Lytechinus pictus: one gene and its partner. The protein of the gene in region 1 purifies or fractionates together with the protein of each later gene. This does not show direct contact. Links are inferred from orthologs where the notes say so. Each region holds a gene or a part of one and is shown on either strand. Other genes may lie near its edges. The genes, in order: histone acetyltransferase KAT8-like and putative male-specific lethal-3 protein-like 2.

Region 1 (10,466 bases):
GGCATATTATTAATTGAGATGTATTCAACACAATTTCACTGGTCTATTTTCTGCAGGAATCTTGTCAATGGCCAATGCTGGCCCAAACACCAATGGTTCCCAGTTTTTTATCTGCACAGCAAAGACAACATGGTAATTATAGTAATTTTCATGTTTATCCTCTGACGGAAGCTATGGTATTAATTTTGATTTCTGGCAGCTGAAATTAGATATAGTTCAATATTGCATTCAGTGTCAGAATACATTCTTAATTCTGTCTGCAGTTGAGTAACAGCAAAAACATAGCTGCATTCTCCGCCTAGATTATAGGCTAGGCTTGGGTAACATTTCAGTATTGATGGTGCAGTTCAAATTACTATCCAATTTTTGAAGCACTCTTTGAATTTGGCTGTTCATGTCCATGAGTTGTCTTTGGTTAAATTATTAACATTGAAATCTTAACCAAGGTAAGGTTTTTTTTAATGAAAATATGAAAATCTATATTGTTCAAAATACAAATCTAAAATGGAATCATTACAAACATTATTTTTGCCCAATTTATCGTGGACTTGGCAGCTACTGTGCAGCACCAGATTGACATAGCTCTATTAACTTAACCTGAAAAGGCGGGGGGGGGGGGGGTCGGGGGGAGTATCCGCCGCCCCCCCCCCCTTGGCGTTTTCAGGTTAAGTTAAGGAAAATATGTGCAGTGTGAATTGATCACATTTGGGGTATTTTTGTCTCCTGGCCTGCATAGCAGAGCGAGACTAGGTGCTGCTTTTCTGATGGCGACGGCTGCCTAGTCAACATGAAATCTTAAATAAGGTTAATTTTTTTGAAATGTCCTATATTAGAAACGTACATGAAGCTTGGACATAAGGTTAGTTAAGTATCACTGAACATCCTGCCCAAGTTTTCAGGTCACATGACCAAGGTGGGTCATTTGGGGTCAATGGACTTAGACCATGTAACATCGAAATCTTAACCAAGGTTAAGTTTTTTTAAATTTTTTCATAACTTGGAAAGTTTATGAATATAATTCATGAAACTTGGACATAAGGGTAATGGTGTATCACTGAAAGTCCTGCCTGAGTTTCGGGTCACATGACCAAGGTCAAAGGTAATTTAGGGTCAACGAACTTTGGTCATGTTGGGGGTAATGGTTGAATTGCCATCATAACTGAAAGTGTATGGATCTAGGTCATGAAACTTGGACAGAAGAGCAACAAGTATCACTAAACATCTGGTGAGAGTTTCAGGTCACATGACCAAGGTCAAAGGTCATTTAAGGTCAATTAACTTTGGCCATGTTGGGGGTATTGTTCAATTGCCATCATTAACTTTAAAAGTTTATGGATCTGGTTCATTAAATAAAGACGAAAGGGTAATCAAGTATCACTTATTGTTTTGCATGAGTCTTAGGTCGCATGATGAAGGTCATTTAGGGTAAATGAATATACTGTCTTGTTATATGAATGGTGTTTTTTTGTGAATGAGTATTCAATAGTCGTAGCTCTGGCACTCCACTTGTTAAAAATGTTTTAACTTTGAAAGGTTATGGATCTAATTAATGAAACTTGGACATAAGGATAATAGAGTATCACAAATCATATTTGATATTAGGGTTAAAATACCCTAGCCCAGGCTAAAGTATAATCATTGGTTTATTCCCTTCTCAGGCTCGATGGAAAACATGTGGTCTTTGGCAGTGTGGTTGAAGGTCTTGATGTCGTGAAGGCAATCGAGGGATATGGTAGCGATAGTGGCAAGACCAGTAAGAAGATCACTATTACAGACTGTGGTCAGATGTAAATCATCAGGTTTCAATCATCAGACAATCCTGTTAAGTTGTGTTATTATTATAAGAGGTGTAGAAGCATGTGGTGTTAAATATAATAATTTTGTACAAGATAAATCTTTACTTTTCTCCTTTTTAATGTGTAGATGTGTTGAGTCACTTGTGGAACATGCTGTATAAACTTTCAAAATTCACTTTTATCATCAGGTTTATATAGAAGTACTTGTACATGGTAACAGCCGCTAGACGTAAATGATCTTATGATTGTGGATTATTCATCAATATTCTTTTTAGGCTATGCTTAGACTGATGGACATCATGGACAATAATATGTCGCGATCATCCTATATTGTATGCACTGTACATTAATACATGTTCAATATACACAAATAGTGTTTATGAGTGCAATGGACGGACTACTTCAACTTCATGAGGTGAAAGAGGATCCGTTCAACAAGGCATAGCCATGTTGAATGAACCATTTCACCTTTCACTGAATGAAGTAATCTGTCCATAGCTCAAGTGAAAAAAAAAAGTTTTATATGGCACCTAAAAATAGATCCTTATTTGCCATTTAGTAAGATTAAATTCACGTGATGGTTAAAAAAAAAACGTTTCTCCATTACAGACCTATATCATCTGCTCTGTAACATCAAGTGAGATTTTTTTAATAGGCTTTGATACAGTGTTTTCTCATGTTTAATATATTCATGTGTTACAATTAGAATACTTTGAAATTCAATGTAGCATTGGAGAAGGGGGCGGGGGTCTTGTCTTCTGTGAAGCCAAGTGTATGTCCCAATAATTACATACATGTATTTGTCAATGGGGCTTTTATTCATCCACGATAATCGGTGTGAAACATTTTCTTGTCACTTATTCCTAAACAGTTCATGTTTATTCTTGAGATTCTAATTTGTATAATTTGGATTAGAAATTTATCTGACCGCCCAGCAAGTCAGTTTGGTTCAACCAAAATTACAGTATGAAATTGATCATGGAATATTCACAGTAACATGTAGCTGTGTTCCCTTGTAATGTTTTAAACACGATATTTGTATTTTTTGTATTAGTGTGCACAATGTCTTTGTCGACTAGAAGAAAATCAGTATTTTCTTTATCTCCCAGGTAGTAAACAATAAACCATACTCTGTCTGGAAAATCATCTGAATTTGTTTGTCAATATATTGGTTTGGGGGGCTTTTTGTAGTGTCAGGCTTTACACATAGGAGGTATGGAGTCCAGAACAGCCCACTTCCATGCATGAACCTCTTGAACGCCAGAGCAGTCAATGTAGTCAATTTGTGGGTTCCGGACTTTTCGCATTTCCTAGGAGGAAACTCTCCAATGCACCAATTCCTTTGAAAATGCAAGTCGAATCACAATATAGAGCTGAGAGGCTTATGTCGTAAGTTTGTAGACCGCGATAGCATCAGAATCTATGCGACTCTGGACAATGACATACAGTATTTGCATTTGTTCTTCCGTGGCAAATGTTCGGATCTGCTGCATTCTAGAGATTTTCCCCCTAGTAAAAGCGAAAACACCCTATTGTTTGAGGGGTTTTTTTTAAGGTATCGGAACCCTCCAATTATTTTATTCCTTTAATTTTTGGTTAGCATGTCGCCAAGAAATCGAAAGTTTTCAGAGTTCATACTGCCATCTAACTTGGATGAGTGTAAGAGGTTATACATGTATGCACAAATGGGCTGGTGATAATTATATTATCTAAATAAATAGAGTAAAATTAACCTAGCAAAATGGTGAAAATTTCATCAATATCTGATTAAAAAAACAAGGTTATATTTTGTGAAAGCAGTCGTGTCATGTGTTCATGTCATGAATATTCATTAGGTTGGCTGATGTCACATCCTTAACTTTCAGTTTCCTTTTTCTTATGTTACATGAAATCGTAATTTCATGTTTGAATGATATGTCTTCTTTAAAATGAAATATGTTGCAACAATAAATATTTAATCGGTTGTCAATTCATTTTTTTTATTCTTGGAGGAAAAAAAAGACCATAATTTCATGTAATAAAATATTAAAGGACAAGTCCACCCCAACAAAAAGTTGATTTGAATTAAAAGAGAAAAATCCAACAAGCATAACACTGAAAATTTCATCAAAATCGGATATAAAATAAAGTTATGACATTTTAAAGTGTCACTTAATTTCACAAAACAGTTATATGCACATCCTGGCTGGCATTTTCCTGGGGTGGACTTTACCTTAAAAAAAAAAAACAAGTGGGGATATGCCATCAGATTGCTCATTGAATATTCATGAAGACATGCATAGCACTGTTTCACAATGTAAATCTTTTCATTGTTTTGTTTGATTTTTTCCTTATCTGTTCAAACCATATTTTAAGCCTGGATACCCCTTTAACTAAATAAGTGATTTTCATTATACCTTCCCCTTCCCTCCCCATTGTTAATGAATGCATAAAACAAATCCTAAAGAATGCTCTGAAAACGTGTACTGACCGCACTGAAACGTTGACAGAGTGTCCTGTTACAACCGGTATTAAATGTGGCAGCAATGCCTAATGTTACATCATTGCATTACTTACACATTGAAATGTTTTGCCTTCACAATCCCAATCCGAAAGATGTGACTGGGCTTACTGTTGGCGCTCTGTTAGGCTAACAACGTTTCTGTGCGGCGAGCACGGGGCAATAGAAACTGTTTAGATTGGTAATAGAGGAAGGGGATGGGGGTAGAGAGAAGGAAAGGACAAAAGGTGGAAATAAATGGATAGGGGAGTTTGCTCGGTTTATTTCCATTTGGTCTACTGCCAATTCGCCTAATTACCAATTTGTCTACTATCATTGGGTCTATCATCAATTTGTCCACTATCCACATGGTCTAATTGCCACTTCGTCCACTCACCATTTCATCTGATAACCAGTTGGTCCAATAGCCATGCAGATCGTCCATAAACCATTTGGTCTAATTGGATAAGTGTTAATAAGGCAAAATGAATGAAAAGAAAGTGGGTATGAGACCAACTTGTTATTAGACGAAATGGTTATAGACGAACTGGTGATTAGACAAAGTGATTATTGGACCAGATGGTGGTTAGACAAAATGTTGGTGGACGGAATGGCATTAGACTAAATGAAGGTAGACCATGTGATTAGTGGACGAGTTGGCAATAGATGTATGGCAGTTTGCTCGAGAGAGAGATGGCCGGGTGGGGTATGAGAGATGGAGATATCCAGGGCCCTGTCATACAAAGGTTAGGAAGCGATCACTAATTTAAAAGAGCAATTATGATTGGTTCTTAGTCTACTGAGCATAAATGCGATGCAACTTTAATGGGCCATTCATTTAATGATTTATCGCTAACCTTCATCAACATTTTTGTCCAACAAGTTGTCAGATCTGACATCTTTCTCTGATGTTGATTGGCTAAGAAGCACTGTTACTATGGTAACTGTCGGATAAAATGGGACTTGTCAGATAAAACGTCCGACAATTAAGTCCTTTCATGAAACGCCCCCCAGAGGGTGAGTGTTATAGGAGGTTTATCTCCCGAGATATAGTGGGGGTATGTATGAGCATGGACCTATTACGAATGAGAGACTTGGGAGAGGGCTTGGCAAAATACAGAAGAGCACAAGGGAAGTACCGGTACATGTTAAAAATGAATTTAAATGAAAACTATCTTTTTTCATCAAACCTTTAAAAATATATTTTTATTCGGTAGTCAATGTGTTCGGATCGTGTGTGGCATGCACGTACCGGTGATGTAATTTCGCGCGCGCATTTTATATTGGTGCGTGCGCGCGTACGTGTCTATCGACGATATGTGATGCGGGAACCAGTCGGACCACCAACCTGTGACATAAAAGCGAAGAGTTCCTCATCTTAATCAAAGGAAACAACATGAATTCATCATTGAAAGACTCTGATTCTAAAACGACATCGACACAGAATGGAAGCACCAACGATTCTGAAAACGAAAATGACGAAAATTCCTTGAAAATCGGCGATACTTTCTTGATAAAGCGACACGACAACACGTGGCGTAAGTATGAATCGTTGAGTAAACAAAGCCCGTCCTAGCCCTAGCATTGCGGTGCGGAGAATGAATTCGTGTCCCGCCTCGCCCGAACTCTCTGGCGTTGTTTTGTGGTCAACCGAGTGAGACCAGGGACAGGGTCCCGTTTCATAAAGACTTGTTATCATGATAACATACCGTAAGGGCACTAGTATTCAACCCGTTTGGAGAGTTTCCTCAAATGTATAGAAATATAGAATTAACCTGAATTTCAGACCCGTCTTATTTTCAAGAGCAAATGCTGGTTATTCTTCATGTTCTTTTCAAATTTCAGTTATTTTTTTCTTCAACCCGTCGACTGTGTGCGCGGGTGATCGAATTATACGGCGATGGTTTTTGGCACTAGTTAGCCAGGCGGCTTCTCGAGAGTAAAAATCATTTACTAACGTAAGGTTACTCTCATACGAAGCCAAGACTTCTACCTCATACATAGACCCACACAAAGGAAGCCAAAACCTGAAACTTTCACCCCCAAGATTTCTACTTTCCTTCTAAAAGATCTATCATCTAGCTCTAAATCATGTAGGGCCTACATGGGATAAAACTTCATTTCCGACATTTCTACGCTCTCGTTGTTATTTTTGAAGAAGAATTCATCAAAAAAAAATGAGAAAAATATCATGAATAGACGGAAGAGACTTGCCCGATGTTATCTTATTGCACTTCACCAACGTTACGCGACGCTCGCGTCCGTAACGTTGGGGAAGTACAATAAGAAACAAGATGGCGGCGTAAACATCGGGCAAGTCTCTTCCGTCTTTTCACAATATTTTTTTCATTTTTTGATGAATTCTTGTTTTAAAAATAACAACGAGAGCGTAGAAATGTCGGAAATTAAGTTTTAATTTTTATCCCATGTACATGATTTAGAGCTAGATCTTTTAGAAGGAAAATAGAAATCTCGGGGGTGAAAGTTTCAGCCAGGTTTGGCTTCCTTTGTGTGGGTCTATGATGTAGAAGTCCTGGCTTCGTATGAGAGTAACCTGACGTTAGTAAATGATTTTTACTCTCTAGAAGCCGCCTGGCTAGCACTAGTATTCAACCTAGCGATAAAAGATGGCCCTGTCTTTCAATCTGCCCTTGTCCCATCCGACTATGGACTAGACCAATTGAGATGAGACCAAACGGAATTAATCAAAGCCAGAGACTTACATAAATCTAGATCTAATAATCTAAACCATTTTGAAATTAGCCATCTATCATCACTAGGTTGAATATATAGTTAGTGCATTTCAGTGCAAAAGGTCACCGCCGCATAATTCGATCCTCCGCGCATACAGTCGACAGATTGATAAAGAAAATACCGACAACAGATTACACTGGAAATAACAAAGTCAAATTCAAAGGTATGACAAATAAGATAAATTCCCAATTTCTAAATATTTGGGGGAATTTGTCCAAATCTTTGAATTATGCCGGGTTGAATACTAGTGCCCATACGGTATGCATAATTTCTATAAGTACAAATTTACAGCCAATCAGATTAACAGAGATGCCAAGTTCAAAAAAATGTTATGCGTGAGATTTTCATGACTCGGCATCTCTGCTTACACTTGTACGTTTCACGAGATATGGGCTTCATCATGATATCGATCCATCGACATCGTATCACGTACTACTAGCTGTGCGCTGACTGCACTCTCGATTCGTCTCGCGTGCCGGGGTAGACACGACGGCGTACGAAGGTAGCTTACACTATGTACACACATCGCTATAGCATCAGATTTTTTGTTAACATTTAATGGCAGGGCAATGGTAAATTTGTTATTGTAACAAGTTATATGAAACGGTTCCCTGAGGATGAGGCTGAGCCAGACTTCAGAGTCGGAGAGTGACTGAGACTATAAAAGTGGCAGTGCATATTGAGACACAAAAGCATGCTGAGTGATCCATGAATTTCTCACCTCTCTGTAATTTTATTTTGTCTGAAAATTAAGCCGCTGATGGATATTTAATTCATATTTATATATTCCATTGTTTTAATAAAACAAATATGTAAAAATTTGCATCTTCAATTAAAGGAGAATGAAACTCTTGAAGCAAGTTAGCTTTTGTGAAAGCAGAAAAATCAAAGAATAAGATCAACAAAACTTTGAGTAAAATAGGACTAGCAATAAAAGAGTTATGAGCATTTGAATGTCGAGATCACTAATGCTATGGAGATCCTCCCATTGGCAATGCGACCAAGATCTGTGATGTCACACACGTACAACTCTCCCATTTGGACACTGAAAATATACCCCAAAACATATCTTTTTGCTCATTCTAATCATATGACAAACGATTCATCAATGATATAATGTTGTGAAACCTCTGTACTTGTCATCTCATAAAGAGAACACCTCACCTTGTGATAGACTCTATAAAAGTGAGAATATAAGTGAAATAAGTACTAAAGTAATGAGGGAGTTGTACGTGTGTGATATCACAGATCTTGGTCGCATTGCCGTTGGGAGGATCTACATGGCACTAGTGATCTCAATATTCGAATGCTCATAACTTTCTTATTATTCATTCAATCTTCCTCAAACTTTCAACAATATGTTTCTTTGATTTTTCTCTTTGATATGGATTCAGCTGGTTTCAAGGGTTTCATTCTCCTTTAATTTCATCTCATTCTGTTACTAATTACATCTCTCACAGATCACGTACCTTCCTCATTTCATTTTTTCTAACTTATTTTTCTCTCATACTTTCATCTATTCTCACATTTTTTTATATTTAATTCATTATTTTGTCTTTGCAGTATTATAAAATCTTGGGACCAGGCCACTAATAAAACTTCAGAATGTCCGGCCATGATCCTGAATTACATGCAATAATTATGTGTCTGGAGAGAAAAAGAAAACACTGCTCGGTTAATATCTGAATAAAATCATGATTGAGATAATTATTTATGAAACATGTATTCTTGACAATCGATTGATATATTACTAAAATATTTTAAGTAGAATAAAGCAATCAAATCTACTGCAGAGTTTGTTTCATTGATCATCATTTTATTAATTTCTTGGGAATTCCGGGACCAGTTTAATTTCCTCCACTGCCTCGCCGTCGTACTCTGTCCCTGGGCTGAGAGTGCCCGCAGTCCATACAAGCACACTTTGCACAGTCACAGCTGCACAGCTCAGAAAATGCACAGACAGTGCGCGAAAATGAAACAAAATTGCACTTGTTTGCATAAAACCTGTGGTAATTCTTGCAACTATAGATAGCAAATTTATATCTGCCACCCATAATTAAGAAGAAAAGTGATATTAGACTCTGGAACAAATGTGACGGGGCGTTTACTGGAAGTTAGCAAATGTTGGCTGCGGGCGTCGATCATATTTTGATTCACTATGGAAATCGTACACTTTATTGTCGGCTGCTTGCATTCGCATGGTCGCATCCGGACAATAGTGGCGCTATTGCTCCCTTTTCGATCCCATGATCCTTTGCGTGAATCTATTTGCGATAAGGTCTATTGTTGAGTTTGCTTGCGTGGATGGTGTATCTAGAGTCTAGGCCTAACTTTTTCGAGAATTATATCAATTTTGACGAGATTTTTGGCTTTTTGCAGAAAATTAGTACAACTAACGTATATACTCAATTCAAGTCCTATTCTATTCATATTTACTAAATTTCTTCTGGGAGGGGGGGGGGGTGTATAGACCCTAGTCACGTATTACTATTGTTACCGGACACTAGATTCCGGACGCGCATATTGTTACTGCGTACGAAAACAATTTCGTACCATTAGACTTCCGCAGTTCAATTACACAGAGCAATACCGGTAGAGGCGCTAGTTCAAAAATTGGGATTGCCCCAGAAAACAAGGATATCCTCATAAAGCAGGACAAATCATGTCTTGATAAATTGAGATTGTTCTTGTTTATGTAATATGGTGACAGTTTTTTTTCACTTACCCCTGCGGGACAAAGACAGCAATTATAGGGATTGAGAGTGCTAGAAATAGATTTAGTGACCTCAATTCCCCCCAGTTCACTGTCTATTTTTCACAACTTGCCGTCTTTTAATAATCTTAGTTATGAAACCTGATATGTTTACATTTGACTAGCGCAGGGAATGAACTTGATTTCTTGTGTGGAGAAATCTTTGAAAACTGAGACAGTCCCTGTAAACTGGGACAATCCCAATTTTCTGACCAGCGCCTGTACTGAATACATAGAACAAGATTGCAGAAGCAAGGCGCAAAAATCCACCTTTTACCTTTGATTATCTCTAAAAATGACAGAAAATAGTTTTGCATTAACAATTGAGATATTTTCTAACGGAAATATGGGCCTGATTTGCAGAATTTCAATCTTCTCCGCTCCTTGATCGAATGTTGAGGTGTGGTGTATTGTGGGTGATCGTCGACAGCTAGTTCTCAAGGTACCCGTGTGCGAGGTTTACCGTGATTGGAGCCGTTGACGATTGACAGCGCATCAACTTGATGAGCATCACAATACTAACGAGCATAATATTGGAAAGTGTCATGGAGCATGGAGTTCAAAAGGAAAAAATAAAATTAGTTAGCAAACACAAATTTATTACCAACATCTGCTCAGATTCGATATAAAAAGCAAACAAAAACTTAAAATTTACCCATGATATGATATATGAGAAAAAATCACA
Region 2 (11,174 bases), on another chromosome or scaffold:
AGCAATTCGGGGTCTGACATGCACTTGTGTAATATCATAATCACATACCCATGCATGCATCCCCAAAATAGTCTTGAACAATATGGTGTGGCCCTGTCGTGCTCATGGATTCATCATAGAAAATTTTTAGGGGGCCATTACGGTCCCCTGGGATTGTTAGGGTTAAAGGTCAAGTCCACCCCAGAAAAATGTTGATTTCAATCAGTAGAGAAAATTCAAACAAGTATAATGCTGAAAATTTCATCAAAATCAAATGTGAAAAAAGTTACATGTATGACACTTTAAAGTTTCGCTTATTTTTCACAAAACAGTAATACCAACCATCTCAGTGTTATGCAAATGAAAGAGTCGATGATGTTCCTCACTATTTATTTTGTTTTTTATTGTTTGAACAATACAATTTCAAGTTTTACAGATTTGATAATAATGACCTACTTGACTGACCCAAAAAAATGTTAAAAACAATGGTAGTTCCACATGTTCAGGGAGGAATAAAACTTTATTTCACATGACAATGAGAAAATAACGAAATACAAAATAAATAGTGAGTGAGTGATGTCATTAGTCCCCTTATTTGCATACCGACCAAGATATCTAATTGTTTTGCATAAATAAGCAAAACTTTAAAATGTCATAACTTTATCATTTTACATCCGATTTTAAAGAAATTTTCAGCATATACATGTATTTTTCTTGGGGTGGACTTGTCCTTTAAGGTTTGCTAGCTGACAATCTTATACTGAATTAAACTACTTTTCTTCATCTTTACGAAGCACAAAGTTTCACCTGCTTTTGTATGTACCTCAAGAATACAATGTCAATTTTTTCAGTCTATTTGTAAAGTATTTTATGCTTTTGCAACTCCTCCATTCATTCAAGTACTACTATTACACATTTGAGCTTATTTTAAATAGTGTTTCTTTCCCTGTCTAAAAAGTGAGCACAACACTCAGATGTTTGTTATAATGAGAATATTCTATAGATTGATGTGCACAATTGAACAAGAGGATTTCAAGGAACATGACAAAGTGGTGGAGAAAGGGGGATTAAGAAGGAAAGAGTGGTGTTGAAAAAGAGATTTAGTTAGAAGAAAATAATATACCACTTAAGAAATAAAAGAATTAAAAAAAATATTCATCTAAAATCACATCCATGACCATGCATATTTATAACACACAAGTCTATGAGGCGTTTTAAAACACGTTTTTTTTGTAAAAAAAACGGGTGTTTTAAAACGCGTTTTAAAACGTGTTTTAAAACACACCGTTTAAAACGTGCCAACCCTGCCCGTGCGCCTCTACTGTTAGTAGTACATGTCAGCCCCCAAAATGCTGAAATATGTGATTTAATTTTCAAAAGCGAAGAAATATGTAAGAAAATGTCTTTGATATCAGTTGTTTTTTTAAAAAATTTGTTAGAAATGCCATGAAGAATACGTACGGCAAAAATTAGCACTCTACAAGCTTTAATTACCAATACTGAATTAGAACAGAAAAAATGATTTTATGAATAAATTAGCATATAGGGCCTAATTATTTCATATAAAATGAAGTATATACATGTAAATATATATATTCAGTGGAGTTTAGCTCTACAATCAAGTAGTTGATGTCATATTTCTACAATCTTTTAAATTTTTGTTGCCATATGATCTTTTGCAGAGAAATGGGGGAGCATATTCATGCTAATTTATTCATGAGCAAGCCTTGAAATAAGCACATGTGAGCCGGGGGCAATTTTTTTTAAAATTGCCCCCGGCTCACGGGCTTTTTACAGGAACCGGGGGCAATTTAAAAAATATATATATAACGGTGAACCACACTGCAAATTTGTTTATAGTAAGCGCAGCTCCTGTAATTTTTTTATTAGTTCATGAAAAAAAAAAAAATAGCATGCTAAGTATTAGGCTTATTCAAACATTTAAGAAATCAGATTTAAATGTTTAAGTGTGTTTTGACACCCTCACTCCACATCCCCTTTACAACCACACACACATGGGCTTATTTATTTTTCATCTTTAATGAACCACGATCAATGAACCCCCCCAAAAAAAAAAATCTAAATAAATGAATTTAAAAAAATGTAAAAAAAGAGAGAGATGGAGAAAGAGAGAATTCAGATCAAATAATAAATTTAGAAAAAAAAAAAAAAATTAAAGGTTTTCTTCATGGTTAGAATCACGGGTGTGGGTGAGTGTTTGTGTGTGATTGTGACTGTGAGGTGCACTTGGATTGCATATAAATTATGTTAAAGAAATGAAGAAATTAAATCAATATCTACCGGGGTATTAACTCAGTCTATTCAAATTCCAGCACATAGCCACAGGCTATGTACATGTATTGAAGGTTCATGTACCTTAAGTTTTTCACAAGTTGTTTGAAAACGCAGATCTCCACAGAAAATGCCTTTCATTCTGGGAGAGTCTAAATTCGGTGAAAATGTATTCATTAATAACTTAAATATTCATCACAATAAAGAAATCAAAATTTTGACAGTTTTCAAAAATTAACATGAAATCTAAACTATCTGAAACGGAAAATCACCATCACTTAGGCCATTACTGATAGAATTCTCACCCAGAGCTCTGGCAGAGAACATGAGCTCAAACTAGCTAGCTAACACCACACTCAAGTGCACGGCATCCTCCTATTATTTTTTTTTAGATGGAGCCTTGTTTGATGATTTATTGTCTGATATTAACCCCTCTCCTAGAAAGAAATTAAAAAGCTACAATTCACAACTATAAGCTAAGTGATTTTGGATTATTAAGGCTCCGTTTTGACAAGCAAAGTCGGCGACTGTGAGGATAAAAGACTCGCACATCGTATGTGCTGTGAACAGGGATTTATCTCCTGTGCAATTCGAATTACTATATCGCAGAATTGTGATATCCCAACTGGAAATGTGTGCATTAGAAATTGCACATGGTGAAGTATGGAAAAACCGCTACCGGAAACACGCGCGCACATGTATTACAGAAAAAAAAAGACGGACGTAGCTCACTTTTTATGGTACAGAAAAAAAGACGCACTTGGCAATTTTAAACTGTGTCTATCGTAAATTGAAAGTTACTTGATTTTGGCTTTTCAGATATTTAAATTACAATCTTTAGGGACCCGTCCGGACTCAGTCCGTACTAGCAGGGAGAAGCTCTGGATGAGACGACTTCGCACCACCCAACCTCATGGCCTGAACATCCAAGAGGGGAACGACTGATTTTTCTTTCCTATCCACTTTCAATTTATATATACATATAATTTTTCCCCTCAGCTCTTTTGAATATATAGTTACATTATAGTTTCTTACTCTACTTTCCTCCCATATCTCACACAAGCTCAGCTCCAATTTTTCCTTCCTTATTCAGGCGATATAATAATTATTATATATATATATATATATATTTGTTTTTTCTCCACTCACCTCTTTTAGATTTACCACATTTGCTTATTTACATGTATACTATGGTTTCTTCATAATACACCCCCTCTCTTCTATATTTGCTTTTACCTTTTTAGGCAATTTGCTTCCTCTTTTTCACATATACAGGTCCTTTTTTTTTTTCTTTTTTTTTTCCCTACTATATAGTCTTATGTTTTTTTTCCCGTCACACCTAGCGGATTACAATATCAGTTACACCATATGTGTATTTATATATTTTTTCATATAGATTTCTTTTTTGGATATATTTATATACATATCACTTATAGATACATATTTACACTTACCTTCTTCTCTTAGTTTGTTTAATGCTTTATCATATATACTTATATGTCTTTTGCACATTATCAGTTGTTCCCCATTCTTTTTCTTTTTTTCCCCCACTCTTATGCACCAGTTTATTAAGCCTTCCTTTGTAACCTGTTTGACCCACCTCTCACTAATTCTCTTGTTTTTCATCCCATTATCACTGTTTTGTTCCAGATCCTGTTTGATGTTGCCTGCCTCATTATTTTAATCCCTCTTGGCTTGAGGTCTTTTACTGGCCTTACTTACACTAACTTCCCTTTGTGTCTGCCTACTCCTTTTCTTTCATCCCCTTCACTAACCTGATTGGTCTTCTCTACTCACTAATGCCCCTTTTGTCTCCTTGTTTCTAGTGTTGCTGTAGCTTGTTTGTGGTCTATATTATGGTTGTTCCACTTTATATGTTTGTCATTTTGCCTCCGACGAAGATTCTGCTAGGATCGAAAGCTTAGGCCCCTTTTTGACTTTCTAATTTACTCCATTGGCTCTCTTTTATTAGATAAGCAGTTTTCAGCAGCTTCTTTTTGCCATTTAAATTACAAGTATGATATGGCTTCACTGCTCACTCACGGCGGGCGCAATTACCTGGAAAATATTTGCGCCCGGTCGTCAAAATTTTGATGATTTTGGGGCTTTATGGGCGCAATTGATGGCTTTATGAGCGCGAATTTGCGCTCAGCGCCCGCTAATTTCAAGTCTTGTTCATGAGATACATTTTTGGCTGCCAACACTCATTTGCATGTTGCACTGTACATGTACAATGTACCTCGTCGATGACTCCAGCAATGCTGAATGTGGATATGTTGTGTGTGCATGTGTCATGTGATCACGAGAGTGGCTGACTGATGCAAACAAAGTGGGGAGTTCAGGCTTTATGCATGAGGAGGGGAGATTCAGGCTTTATGCATGAGGAGGGGAGAGAGCCGGGGGGGGGGGGGGGGGGTCTTAGCAAAATATGAAATATGGTTTTGTGTATGTTGTGTGTACCTCGTTGTTACTATGTTATGCTTATGCTCTATTATTTTTTTTTCTAATGTTTCTTTGTTTTTTGATGATCACCTTCAATGTCAGGATTTTATATCGATAAACTTAATTTGAAAAATTTGAATTTGTATGACTGTGTATTACAAGCTGTGTAAGTTTGTTTGTTCAAAGGCTGCAGTAGAGGCGGGTCCACGGATATACCTGCATGAAGGGGGGGGGGAGTAAAAAAAACGGACCTCCTAAATTTTCTGTTGATAACCCTTTTTTTCCCATTGTCAATTTTTTCCCTGGGTCCCCCCTTGATGGCCCCCCCTAAAATTTTGGTTGATAACCCTTTTTTTTCTTCAGGTGGACCCCCCCAAAATATTTTGGGGGGGCTTGCCGCCAGCCTGCCACCAATAAAAGGGGGAGGGTACACGTGTAAAAGCAGCATTTTACATTAGATTTTCTTTTATAATGGCTCTCAAGGGGGTGGGTAGGATGTGCCCCCCCCCCCCTTTGGATCCTCCACTGGTCATGTACAGGGCATGCATTTAAATTGGGGGTGCCCGGGGGGGTGTAACTAACCTCTGGTGTCAAGGGGGCACAGCCAGCCCGTGCCCCCCCCCCCCTTGAGAGGCACAATTAAAATTTAAATGCTGTGAAAACTTAAGTGTGTGCCCCCCCCCCCCCCTTTGAAAGTGAGGACTTTTTTTTTTGCTTGTCAGATTTTTTCGTAGAAGAAATGTACTTCCTTTTTGGTTGAAAACATTTATTTTTTTGCTTGTCAAATTTTTCCTCGGGGAAAATGTGCCCCCCCCCCACCCTTGGAAAATCCTAGATCCACCCCTGGTGTCAATACTATGTTTGAAAAGAGATATACCCCTTCCATCCCTGATGTAACCCATTTGCTGCCAAGGAGGGGGCTGACATACCCCCTTTGTCTCCTTTGGCTTCACACCTGATGATTGCACATGACCGGCGCCGTGACCACTGCACTTATGGGCAGCCAAAACGGTCAAAATTAATAATCTCAAAAATAAAGAAACTCTCAGAAGTATAACATTCAGAAATGAATACATTACTTTGGACAACTAGTAAATACGTCAAAAATAAAGAGGCTGCATTTATTTATGAAAGACTGAGATACTACATTTATTTCTGAGAGTTTCTTAATTTTTGAGATTGTTAATTTTGGCCCTTTTGGCTGCCCATATGCACTAGCTAGCGACACACAGTCACAGAGCTCGATCGCGATCCGCTCGGTCTATTCATTTCAATTCACCTCATCACTGCACAAGTTCAATGCGACATTTGTTATTCATTAGAGGTACAAATTGTTATTTATATCAAACAACCATTTCAAACACTCTAGGCGACACCCCAATACTTACCCGTGTTAATAAACTGGGACTCCACTCACGCGCATTTGGGCCGCCCTAGCTTAGAACTAAGCAATATTATCTAGAAATTGTTAAAACTGTAGTCATAAAATATGTTCTATTAAATAAATGTTTAATCGGTACTCACCGGTTCTTTTGTTGCATTTTCAGACAAAAAAAAAAAAAAATTTATGTAATGATGCTAAAATGAAAGGAAATTATTAAAAGTAGACAGGTAGAAGAGCGTTTTACTTACATGTTATTGACACCATCTTGTCTCCTTTGTGATTGCATCCTCGCGATGCAACGCATCTATAGAGGGTGGCAAAATCATGAGCAGTGCCAACCTAGATTTTTTTTAATACTTGCACCGGCCGATAAATTTCATAAATCGTAAATTACTTGCATCGGCCGGTAAATGTAATATACAGTTCATGATATTTACCGGCCGATGCAAGTATTTTAAACTCAAATAACCTAAATTCAGACTGCAAGGGCAGTACTGAAAAGAAATGTAATTGAACTCAAGTCTAGACTAACAGAAATGTAAAACAGCTGAAGAAAAAAAGTTAAAGGAAATAAACAAGGTAAGAAAATGACGAAAATAAACCATCTTACATAGATTTTCTCCTTTAAAAAAGGAGATTTTCAAAAACAAATAACAAAAATATATATCAGCTTTTGCAAATCCAGATTTTGATCACTTTTAACACCAAACATTTACACAAAAATATTGAAATAAAAATAACATAGTCATGATATGGTTCAATATTTACATTACAATATAAAAAATACGCCAATAAATATGTAGGCCTACCATACTACATTTACATCAAATTATGGTGGCCTTAAAACTTTTACTTTTTTTTTAATTACTAGATACTGAAAGTAGATTGGACAAGAGATAGTGCAGGCAAGAGAGTTCCAGAGTACCTAGTTCACTTCAATGGCTGGAATCATAGGTAAGACTGCCATTCAAATGAATAATATATATTCTTTTGTGTGGGCACTTGGCAGTAATTTCTATCTATTCAGATTCTGGTATATATTTTCTAATATAAGAAACACAATCTTTTTTCAAGAAAAGTTCACCCCAACTAAAAGTTGATTTGAATAAAAAGAGAAAAATCCAACAAGCATTACAAAAAAATTTCATCGAAATCTTATGTAAAATAGAAAGTTATGACATTTTAAAGTTTTGCTTAATTTCACAAAACAGTTTAGTACACGTATGCACATCCTTGTTGTTATGCAAATGAGGAGCCTGATGACGTCATCCACTCACTATTTCTTTTGTATTTTATTATATGAAATATTCTTATCTCATTGTCAAGTGGAACAAAGATTGATTCCTCCTGATCATGTGGAATTAGCATTGTTCTACATGTATATAGTATGGTTGTCATGTTGATCCTTTTTTCAAATCTGTAAATAATGAAATATTGTATTATTGTATTATTCAAAGTCAGTGCGTCATAGTCTACCTATTATATGGAATTCCCTCCCAAGTAATTGTATTGAATGTAAAACGTTATTGCAGTATAAGAGGGCATTGAAAAAAATATCTCTTCACATTTGAGTATTGTTACATTGTTTACCATTTATCAATTTACATTAATATATACCTAACTTTACCTTGGCATCTAATTCCTCTGATAGCTAATGGATGTGTCGTGTGGGGTGAGTGTGTTTTGTGTGATATGGTGTGGATGTAGATAATACCCATGTAAGACTATTTCGATATGTTTTTTAAAGGGGGGGTGGGGTATACCAAATTGAAGATTCTAATACATGTATGCCTGTAACGCAATGTAGTACATGTACATGTATTTGAGGGAACTTTTACCCACAAAGCCTTAAAGGCCTTTCTTTAAGTTCTCTTATTTCATTTCATATTTTCATGTATTTATTGGCATATTATGTGATAATCGTGTATGTTATACTTTGTAAATATCTTTTTATCGAAATGAAATAAATGGATTCAATCAATCAATCAAAACAAAAGAAATAGTGAGTGAAGGACATCATAGACTATCTCATTTGCAGGTCATTGAGTTGTGCATATAATTATAACTGTTTTGTGAAAAATAAGATAAACTTTAAAATGTCATAACTTTCATATTTTACATCCGATTTTGATGAAAATTTACAGCATAAGGCTAGTTTCATGTTTCTCTATTTACATTTGAATTTCAAATCAACATTTTTGCTGGGGTGGACTTGACCTTTAAGGGTTCCATGATACCAATTTTCTGTGCTCTAATCTGACTAATGGTTCATCTGTGGCCTGCTTTCCATTATCAGGCCAAATCATGGAAATGCCTATTTCTCATAATTGTACTATGTGGGGTTTTCTGAAATGTATTGAAACTTGAAAATGAATATGAATTATTTTAGATTAACCAAACATCGATACAGGCTTGATGTTGAAAAAAAAAAATAATAATAATAATAATAATAATAATGATAAAAACAAAAATCAACATTTGACTATAAAGGTGCTACATGTACATGAAGTCCTTCAGTACAGGCTTGATTTGGGCATTTTATGACAAAAAAACGTAAAGGACAAGTCCACCCCAACAAAAAGTGGATTTGAATAAAAGGAGAAAAATCCATCAAGTACAACACTGAAAATTTCATCAAAATCGGATGTAAAATAAGAAAGTTATGACATTTTTAAGTTTCGCTTAATTTCACAAAATAGTTTTATTCACATCCTGGTCGGTATGCAAATGAGTGAACTGATGACATCACTATTTCTTTTGTATTTTATTATATGAAATATGAAATATTCTAATTTTCTCCTCATTGTCCTGTGAAACACACTTTTATTTTGCCCTGAACGTGTGGAATTACCATTGTTAAACATTTTATGTTTCACAGTCAAGTTTGTCTTTATTGTCAAATCTGTAAAAATTGAAATATTGTATAATTCAAACAATAAAAAACAAAAGAAATAGTGAGTGAAGGACATCATAGACTCTCTCATTTGCAGGTTATTGAGTTGTGCATATAACTGTTTAGTGAAAAATAAGATAAACTTTAAAATGTCATAACTTTCATATTTTACATCCGATTTTGATGAAATTTAAAGCAATAGGCTAGTTTGATTTTTCTCTATTTACATTTGAATTTCAAATCAATATTTTTGCTGGGGTAGACTTGACCTTTAAGGGTTCCATGATACCAGTTTTACGTGCTCTAATCTGACTAATGGTTCATCTATGGCCTGCTTTCCATTATCAGGCCAAAGCATGGAAATGCCCATTTCTCGCAATTGTGCTATGTGGGGTTTTCTGAAATGTATTGAAACTTGAAAATGAATATGAATTCTTTTTGATTAATCGATACAGGCTTGATGATGAAATTTTTATAACCCCCCTCCCCCCCCCCAAAAAAGATAATAATTTAGAAAATAAATAAAAACAAAACAAAAATCAACATTTGACTAAAAAAAAGATGCTACTTGTACGTAAAGTCCTTCAGTACAGGCTTGATTTTAGCATTTTTATGACAAAAAACCTTTAACATTTATTGAAATCCATTAACTTTATAAAGATCCGATCCACTACAGTCTCCTGTTCCAGACTACTGATTCACACACCCAGCCTGGGGCAATTCCTTTCTTTTCTTCAATCATCTATTCATCCTTTTCTCCTCCTTGTCTTTGTCGTTACTGACTGTATGATTTTTTTTTCAAGTTTTCATGGTGATTCCAACATTATGGGTATCAAAATCGAGTACCATGTTAATAATTACTGTTTAAATGGAAAGCTTACAGCTGTCATGCCATAGGTGTTCAATTAGTGTCTGTATCAGTAGACTACCACTTTAGAGGTAGCCTGGTACTGTTTGCTAGTCAGCTGGTTGTCTATTGTTAGGGAGCTACGGTGAAGGTCACCAAGGTCATCAGTCGTCCGTATTGGCGGGGGTTTTCAATTCATTACAATACAATGCAGAAAACAAATGATTTTATGGATGTCTCTGTTTATCAATACTGGAAAGGCAGTATAGATTTGAGGATTATCTTTATGTTTGCTCTTGAGGGCCTTGGCCCAGTGGTAAGTTGAATCAAGGAGAATCGTAGCAATCATAGCATACAAATTGTCAAGAAACAGTGTAACTTACATGTAGATCTACAGTATGTTATACTGTGCATGTTTGGCAAGCTTCCGGAAACGTACTGAATGATGGGGCATAACACAGACCTGTCTTGGTGAATTCTGTAGGTTAAAGGTCAATATCTGGACAAGCAAGCTTCCACATGTTTTGTTTATCTGCTTGCTCGAGTTTGCACTTCATTTTTTAGATTTTATTGTCCTGAAACTTGTGAGAGCCCACTTTATTCTCCATCTCATTGTACATGTCCATCCGTACTCCTCACAACAAATGTTTGTTCAGTTTGGAATGCAGTTTTCAAATAGAACATGGTGTATTGAATTCTATTGGAAACAGGCTGTTTTATGGAATATTCTTGATCATGATATTTAGCTGAAACAAAACTTATTCGGCAGTCTGTTCAGACACATGAACAAGGAGTGTAGGAACTTGTCTAATCTGCCAGTAAAACTATTCAAAAGTTCCAACTTAACAGGAAATAACTTTTTCTGATTTCACATTGCAAAGATTGCTACATAAAAAGTCTTGTGTAATATACAATACAGGCCACAAATGCTCTTCAAATTTTGAACGCAAAACTGTTCCGTGTGTATGATTCACAAAATTCATTCAGTACTGTGTAATAATGATGATATAGACAGCCTACACTGACATTAATAATGATCTTCCACATATTGATGTTTACAGTTGTGTCGGTCAATGGAGGTGTACACCTGGGGGGCGTTTCATCAACATTTTTGTCCGACAAGTTGTCTGATCTGACATCTTTCCTTGATTCTGATTGGCTGAGAAGCACTGTAACTATGGTAACTGTCGGATAAAATGGGACTTGTCGGATAAAACGTCTGACATGTCCTTTCATGAAATGCTCCCCTGCTTTGATTTTTTTATACTTCCTTTTTCGTTTTTTTTTTAAAGATAAATTTATGTTAATTAAACAATTTTTTTGTAAAGCCCATTTAC

The links.
Region 2: the proteins of histone acetyltransferase KAT8-like (region 1) and putative male-specific lethal-3 protein-like 2 purify together in Homo sapiens (affinity purification with mass spectrometry; 4 studies listed by BioGRID and IntAct, with this or other methods). This does not show direct contact. The link is inferred for Lytechinus pictus from reciprocal best matches to the Homo sapiens genes KAT8 and MSL3.

Annotation. Positions count from the first base shown.
Region 1 is NC_087262.1:19,534,878-19,545,343, forward strand, and holds the start of histone acetyltransferase KAT8-like, read left to right. Parts: upstream 1-5,561; 5' UTR 5,562-5,671; coding exon 5,672-5,813; intron 5,814-10,466. Other genes in the region: peptidyl-prolyl cis-trans isomerase-like, read left to right, coding at 57-132, 1,659-1,791.
Region 2 is NC_087256.1:929,418-940,591, forward strand, and holds the start of putative male-specific lethal-3 protein-like 2, read left to right. Parts: upstream 1-6,959; 5' UTR 6,960-7,051; intron 7,052-9,973; exon of another isoform or gene 9,974-10,153; intron 10,154-11,174. UniProt on the Homo sapiens protein: Non-catalytic component of the MSL histone acetyltransferase complex, a multiprotein complex that mediates the majority of histone H4 acetylation at 'Lys-16' (H4K16ac), an epigenetic mark that prevents chromatin compaction.